2 linked regions of the Schizosaccharomyces pombe genome follow. The protein of the gene in region 2 interacts with the protein of the main gene of each other region in a biochemical or structural test. Each region holds a gene or a part of one and is shown on either strand. Other genes may lie near its edges. The genes, in order: alp6 and mzt1.

Region 1 (5,708 bases), on a different chromosome or scaffold from region 2:
AATTGTACCATCATATCCACCACTCACAAGTCTAGTAGCACTCATCCATGAAGCAGTACGAACATAATCTTCATGTCCAGAAAGATCATACTGAACGGCACCAGTTGACAAGTCCCAGACCTTTACAGTTTTGTCATCGGATCCAGAGAGAAACGTGGTATTGGCATAAGGACAAAATTGTGTAACATGAACTGGAAACTGATGAGCGTCTAAAGCACGCAAAATACTCCGAGTTGACAAATCAAATATCTGAAAGTACATTAGCAATCAATGGCAACAAGAAAACCTCTAAAGTAAGTTTAAAGCGTTGACAAACACCGGAAAAATGGTATTTTTTTAGCTATATACTAGCAAATGACAGCTTCAATCAGCTAAACTAAACTAACAAAATTCCATGTGCAGCTTATCAACGTTTTAATTGCAACTATCTTTCAAAGCTTTTGGTAATGTAGACTTACCTGTACAAGTCCTGTAGCATCTCCTGCAAGCAAAAGTTTTCCATCCTTTCTAATGTTACCAGAATATGCGGTATCCTTAAATCGAGCAATTGTTTTTTTAACAGACCTTGAACTAGCTCCATAAATTTGTACACGAGCCCCACTAGTTACTGCAAAGTCATAAGGGGATTCAGCGGAAAAATGAATACTAGTGATAGCACTATATTCCTTGGCAACGACAGGAACCTTGAATGACCGCCAAAATTTATTTTCAGCAGTAACGGGATTAGGTAAAGCAGCAAAACGCTGAGGTTGAAGTCTACCAGCAGGCGCGGACATGATATCCGTATATGTGGTTGCTGAAAAAAGTTAACCAAATGGGTGGGTGGTGTTGGTGGTTGGCAAAGGCAAATTAAACAGCACCGCTGAACGATAGTTAAATCACATTAAATATTAATAACTAAATTTATAGTTTACTACGAGTAATAAAAGTTTAAATAATCATGCATGAACCTCATTTATTGACTGGTAACATCCTTATCATGACGCCGTCTATGAGAAACGTAGAATTCGTTATAATTGAGACGAACGGAAAGAAAGCGCATTTCTGGGTCCTTATGGGAAGCTAATCCATGTAATAATTTTTGAAGTCGAACCTGGAATTCCTCAGTAAAATTTGAGAGTTCATTTTTTATAGGGGTGTATTGAGCTGCCAAAGCATCAGTCGAAATTGGTACATTAATGCGAATTCTATTCGACAGGGAGCAAGAAAAGTTATACAACAACTCAATTGCATCATGAAAGTTTAAGATAACTTTAAGTATATCATGAAGCTGATGAAGGAAGGAATCTTCATTCCTTGACTTACCACCACCCAACAAGCCCTTATGAGTTATACTAGTAACATATTTTTCATGTGCCTCTATATACGTATCCAATGTAGCGTTTGGTTTCTCCATAGCAAGCTGTAATTCTTGCCAACTAATTTCGATAACCTGTTTCCAATGGTTAGTATACAATGCAAAATTGGGTTTTGGTTTTTCGTTACCTCAAAGAGTATATAATATTGAAGTTGACAAACAAAATGAATCATTTCCGCAAGATGACAACTGACAAAATGCCATTCGAATTTTGTGTAATCCAGATTTCTGAAGACATTTCGCTCGCCCAAATTTACTCGCCTCCAGGAATGGGCAAGGGCAAACTCAATTCGTTTCAACCTCCATAAAAAGTTAAATATTTTTAAGTATTGTCTAGAGCAATATGGTGTTATTATTACGTTGATAGGTGAATCAACTTTATACTCCAACGTAAAAACATCCCAACCAGTTTCACCATGTGAAAGCTCCAGAAGCCTAGCATCCAATCTTTTTAATACGTATTCAGGTTCATAAGATGCATTACTTGAACGAATGGCGCTTTCTAAAGAAGCAGTCAAATTGTGTCTGAACAAAGTATTAGCCGGCTGATCCAAAGAATTACCAAGGCTCTCCATTAATAAGTCCACAAAATCACCTTGTCCTAGTAAAAGGTATTTTTTGATAGCCTTTAAATGATCAGTCAAATGAAACACCTCTTCCATCAAGTATACTAAGTGATTAATGGACTCAGTATACGCCTTATCAACCACTGTTTCTAATGAATGAGGGTCTCTATAACTAAGTTTTTTCACTAGCTTCTGGTAATGCTCTTGTGCCCAGTCAAAATCACCACATCCATAACGTGCGAAGTTTAAACTCTTTCCAATCAAAAAGATTTTGTCGACAAGTTCTTCAGAAAGGAAACTTGGTATTAACTCTTTGTCTAAAAAATATTTACCTTTCCAGACGACATCACCTTGCCCTTGATGATCATGGCTTTCACTACCATTTTTTTCTTTAACAAAAAATTCTTGATAAGGGTCGACCAATTCTCCTTTATAAATCCAGTTTTCAATCATTTCGTATAAAGGTCCAGTAATTTCTGTTAGTATTTTATCACTCAATTCTTGTATTAGCGGATCTCCATGCACATTGTATTTCGAAACCACTTGAATCAATCTTTTTTTATTCTCCTGGTTCATATTATCATTAACAACTGAAGACAAAATTCTAAGTTTTAGCTTGGCAACTTGCGTCCAGGCAATGCAACGCCGGATAGTTACCATAGGCTTCTCAAGTGAAGCGTCTGCTCGAATTTGTGAATCCAGAGATGCAATTAACGCAAGGAAATTAGTCAGCTCTTTAGAAATGACCGATTTTAAACTTTGTAAAGCTAAAGACTGATCGTTTATAAATGCTTTACTAACGTTATCACCATCAATGGATTGACTGACCGAAGGATCATAATTGCTGAAAACCTTTAGTTCCTGATATAATAAGCCTGTCTCTGAAAGAGCTCGCATCTGTAAAAGGTATTGGACAGGTATTCTCTTAGACAACAGCGCTAATTCATTTTTAAACTGAACATATTCGGTAGAAATTCCTTGAAGTACGTAAGATATTGAAGACAACAAATCGGCTTCTGTAATCAAAGTATGTTGAACAGAAGAAGTTTCAGTACTACGGTTTAGCCTAGATGAATCATGAGCAATTGAGATAGAACTTTCATTTTCCAATCCTTCATCCCAATCAGTAATTTGGGGGTTTTCAGGAACTTGATCGTAACGTGTCTGACCAAAGTTTGAGGATTCCACTTCTGTTGATGGAATATTGATAGGATTGGAAATAGACTCATCTAATAAATGAGAGGAGACATCTCTTGATGACTGAGAAATAGGAGAGAGCAAGTATAAGAAATAGAGTATTTGAGATTTGTTGTGAATGACCGTTTGACTTTTCAAACGCGAAACTAAGTTAGATAATTTAGAAAATAAAGCATCATTGTTTTCTTCGGGGGGAACTAAAAAACTGTTAATTTTGGTATTTAGACCTTCACATACTTTTTGAATATATTTTGTACAGAATGTCATCAATGTCCAGTTGAAAAGTATCAGGAGAAATGCTAACAGTTAGCATGATCATTTACACGAAATTAGCTTACGAGTGAATTATTTCCTGAAAGAAAGACACGATCGTTTCAATTGTGTAAGGGACAGAAGGGTTTTTGGAGTTCTGTAAATACTTGTCCGCCAGACGTGATAATGCAGTTTTCACATGAATCTCCGACATTTGAGAACTTCAAATGACGAAAGTATTTTTTTTATTTTTGAATTAAAATAGAGAAATACAAGTATTGATCGTTAACTCAAAATCTTAAAGCCATTGACAAAGTACACGCCGAAGTCGCGGTCAGGAAATAATGGTTAGATGAATTTACGCATACACCTATTTTTACTAGTGATTTTTTTTTAAATTAAATGATTGATTTTATTTCAAAAAGATTGAAATTAAAAATATTAATGCACATTAGATTAGAAATTCAGAATCTCGTTCAACGATATTGGTTTTCTCACAGCATTGGAAAACCCATCGTGAAATTTGATATTGATTGCATGCTTGATGGAAACTGGATGATCTCCTGTATTCAAAGCTGCATTATTCGATGTAACTGCTTCAGATTTTGGTTCAGAAATGATACGGCCAAAAAAATCTCTCTTAATTGCTTTTCCGGAATTAAAATCTTTGCGCTTTCTTGAAGAATTCGAAGAAGTGGGGTTGTCCGTTAGGGTTTGTTTTTTAATGTCTGCGAGCCTTTTCTTGAGCAGTTCCTGAGATAGCATTTGACGAACAGAATATGAACTTGTAGGTGCGTCCCAAACCAATTCATCCAAAGGTCTGTCAACGTTAGCTATTACTAGAAAGAAATAAAAATATTGGAACTTACGGCTCAAGCCTATACACATAGTTGCCATCTCCAACGGGAAGCTGTTGGAAACGCAAATTATAATGATTTAAAATGTTAATCGCATGCTCAATTTTAGAAGGTAAAGCGCTCCTTGGCATAGAATCTTCTTTCTATAAAAAGTTAGTAAATTAAAAAAATATTGTTTCACGCAATTTTTTTTTTTTTTTTTTTTAAAATATATAGACCTTACCTGTTTTAGTGTAGGATTTATGGTAATTAAAATTGTACGGATAAGTTCCAAAAGAATTGATCTTTCTCCATGCATTTGATTTTCATAAGCATTTAGCGTCGATATGAATGAATCCAATATTTCTTTGCGAGTACGATAAAGTTTTAAAGCTTCCAAATCACTTCTGGGAGGATGCGGAAGGCGGCACTTTTCAGGAGTTGCATACAAATAATGAAAATGAATAATGGAATAAGGTATGTACCTCCATAACTCATAATTTCCCTTATAACATTGTGAATGAAGTTGGTCGAAAAAGTAAAGCCACTCGCTTGTCAAAGCAGGTTTAGAAAGTAAGCTATCAGTAAAAGGAAGATCTAAGTATGTATGAAAACAATTCATCAAGACTGATTCAGAATCATTAGCTCCATCAATCCTTGCAAGGAGGGCGTCCAAATGTGAGTAAGTAGGTTGCGATGCTTCAATTGCACGTATTTGTTTATTATCAAGTTGTAAAAAAAGAGATTGGATTAAACTAGAAGTACTAAAAGAATTACTTTTTGGTTGCAAAAGCTTTATGGTCTCAGAATCTATACGTTTGTTATTTAAAGACAAAAGTTGTAAACTGTTGATACAGCTTCGAATGTCAGAATTATAGATATCTGTCAGCAAAGTCAAAGAGCGGCTGTCAACAGCTATATTTTCATTTCGGCAAATAGTCCTTAAACGACCGACAAGAGATGCTTGAGGAGGTGGTCGAAAATATATTATTTGAGCATATGGTCGCAGAGGTCGAAGTGCTGGAGTATATAAGTCATTACAAATGCAAATAATGGGACGACAAAGTTTCTTAAACTTTTTCTTTTTCTTTGAATTACCAGCTTGAGAATACTCAGTCGCTTTTTCGTCACTCTCTAATAAACTCAAAAGTGCTCGTACGAATGCAGGATCACCTCCGTCAATTTCATCAACTATAACACATGTAGGTTGAGATGACAAGGCTGAATGATTGCTAATGGCAGAGGATACCTTTTCATGAACCGTATGAGCAGTACGATCATCACTAGCATTTATTTCCAAAACTTTGTATCCAGCCTGATGAGCAATAACATGAGCCAAAGTCGTTTTACCTGCACCTGCCAGTCCAGTCAGCATCATAATCCGTTTATCAGGTCTATCACTATCAGAAGTGATATTAGTAAATCTGGGGTTAAAACGCATACTCTTTGAGGGCTGTAATCGAGATTTTCCAAACACACAAGGATCCCAAGCTTTTATCC
Region 2 (2,665 bases):
CTAAAAAGATGTAAGAGGAATTGCATCTTCAAACAACGTGTTGTGAATATACAAATGTTTACTAATAGATTGAACGAATGTATACCATTCTCTAGGGGATGAAGGCATGTCAGTTTTATCATCACGATTCCAACATGTGAGGTGAAATGGTTTAAATGTTTTACGTAATCGCGATTCTTCATATTCGCTGCATGAACAATGCAATCGCTTTTCAAACAAATACACTGGAACATGAAATGGATGATTGGGCAAAGTTATGGATAGCGGTAGAGTACCTCCAAAGGAAAATATCCCTCCAAGCTGGTATTTAGTAGACAATTTATAACAACTATATAAAGCAACCATAGCTCCTTGACCAAACCCGAAAAAAAATATTCTAGAAGATAATATACCGTAAGAGAGTAGATTGCCAATTAAATTTGAAATCATCGTAAAACTTTTAGAGAAATCGGCTTCAGATTGCAGTTCCCCGTTTTGATCAAAATGGACATCCTCTCCCCACATCCAATTGCCTCCAGGATTTTCAAAATCTAATGGTAATCGATATGGTCCACGTAAGGAAATATAACTAGTGTTGGGCAACGGAACGTTCTTTGCCATATTTGCAAAACTCTTGTGAGAATCTCCAAGTCCATGCATTAAAATAACTACATTGTGAACCTTGTCTTTCCCTTCAATAATCTCTGCGCATGCATTTGAAGGTAGAACACTGTTTAAAGAAGACATTAGATAAAAGAAATACTAAACCCCGAGGTCAACTATTGAGATTAAACTTCTTGCCATTAACTTGGTTCTGTGTCAACAGTTTGTTCCTGAGCCATACGTATTTCCCGAATTATTTGAGCTATTGCTTCTGGGTGTACGTTGTTTTCACAAAGACTGATGCAGAGTGAAAGCGTTGTTTTATCAAGTTCAGTTCCAAGCAATGTTCCTATTTCGTATAAAACTTCTATTGTCTCTTTGGTAGATTCAGACATAAAACTCGATACTTTATAATAAACTAGTCTAATTATATATACTTCGTAACAAGTTGGTAATGTTAAGTTTACTGGAATAGGCGTCTCGGAGTAGCTCATTATAATCCTCTAAGTAATAAACAAAGTACTTCGTGGTGCATCTAGCTTGTGCTTGTAAAACGAAACCGAAAGTAGGCTCAACCTCAGATTTGAGCAGTCAAAATATTGATGAAATGTATCCTCTCAATGCTAATTCTTATACTCTGCTACGGAAATTAGGATCAGGTTCATTTGGGGTTGTCTGGAAAGCACGTGAAAATGTGTCTGGCGACATTATCGCTATTAAACAGGTAAGACTAATTAATTTTTACTCTTCTTTAGTATCACAAAAAACTTACAGTTGCAGATTGATTTAGAAACAGGTATTGACGACATTACCGACATCGAACAAGAGGTATTTATGTTATCGAATTGCAACAGTTCCAATGTAATTCAGTATTACGGTTGTTTTGTTGACGGATACACATTATGGATTTTGATGGAGCATATGGATGGAGGATCAGTTTCGGGACTTTTGAAAATGGGAAGGTTGAATGAACAAGTAATTTCAATCATTCTTCGAGAGGTCCTTTATGGGCTAAATTATCTTCATGGACAAAACAAAATCCACAGAGATATCAAAGCCGCCAATATACTACTATCTTCCTCTACCGGAAACGTAAAGCTTGCTGACTTTGGAGTTGCCGCTCAACTTTCGAACGCTGCTTCGCGTAGACACACGTTTGTTGGAACGCCATTTTGGATGGCACCGGAAGTAATACAACAAACAAGTTATGGTTTAGCTGCTGACATTTGGTCTCTTGGAATTACGGCTATTGAAATGGCTAACGGAATTCCGCCCCGCGCTACAATGCATCCAATGCGTGTCATCTTTGAAATTCCTCAATCCGAGCCTCCAAAGCTAGATGATCATTTCAGTCCAACATTCCGTGATTTTGTGTCCTGCTGCTTAGATCTCAATCCTAATATGCGATGGTCAGCTAAAGAACTCCTTCAACACCCATTCATCAAAAGCGCAGGAACTGTGAAAGACATTATTCCTTTGCTTGTTCAGAAGGAGAATAAATTATTTGATGATTCGGATCAAAGTGTATTGGAAGAAACCATAAATAATACTTTAAAGCCCTTTGAAGAACCAATTGCTGAAGGAAATGCTGACATTGAGGATTGGACATTTGAAACTGTAAAGAAATCTGACTCAACTGTGTTAGGGAATACTAGCATTCCTAAAAATTCCATCATCAGTTCACAAAATAAAGAGGAATTGCCTTCATCAATAAAATATTTAGAGAAAACTATAATGAGTGATCAAGCGACACCGCATCCTTTTTCCAAGTCATTGTCTGAAAAAGGTAGCTCTTATCATAAATCGTTGACTTCCGATTTTGCTATGAAACATTATATTAAGTCCACCATACGATCGATGTTATTAAATGATAAATTGTCAGCAACGCAGCGCTCATCTTTAGAATCTTTTTATACATCTTTCATTTCTTTAGATAAAAATCTGTCCTCAAAATTTGTTAACCAAATTACTCCAGACAACAGACTGCATCACAAAAAGCAAAAGCGGAGCCCCATATCACAACTACTATTTTCACGGTGGCTTGAAGAAACTGAGAAAAGAAGAAGTCTAAATGGATAGCTTA

What was found.
Region 1: the proteins of mzt1 (region 2) and alp6 are reported together in a solved structure, tested with the Schizosaccharomyces pombe proteins (one study listed by BioGRID).

The regions. Positions count from the first base shown.
Region 1 is NC_003423.3:480,121-485,828, forward strand, and holds alp6 (gamma tubulin complex GCP3 subunit Alp6), read right to left. Parts: upstream 3,709-5,708; 5' UTR 3,587-3,708; coding exon 3,459-3,586; exon of another isoform or gene 3,420-3,458; coding exon 3,358-3,419; exon of another isoform or gene 3,318-3,357; coding exon 1,486-3,317; exon of another isoform or gene 1,433-1,485; coding exon 956-1,432; 3' UTR 828-955; downstream 1-827. Other genes in the region: U3 snoRNP protein Utp15, read right to left, coding at 1-249, 459-776; Ctf18 RFC-like complex subunit Ctf18, read right to left, coding at 3,829-4,192, 4,242-4,372, 4,453-5,708.
Region 2 is NC_003424.3:1,984,568-1,987,232, forward strand, and holds mzt1 (putative mitotic spindle organizing protein Mzt1), read right to left. Parts: upstream 1,042-2,665; 5' UTR 978-1,041; coding exon 783-977; downstream 1-782. Other genes in the region: SPOM_SPAC9G1.08C (phospholipase), read right to left, coding at 1-726; PAK-like GC kinase Sid1, read left to right, coding at 1,190-1,306, 1,363-2,661.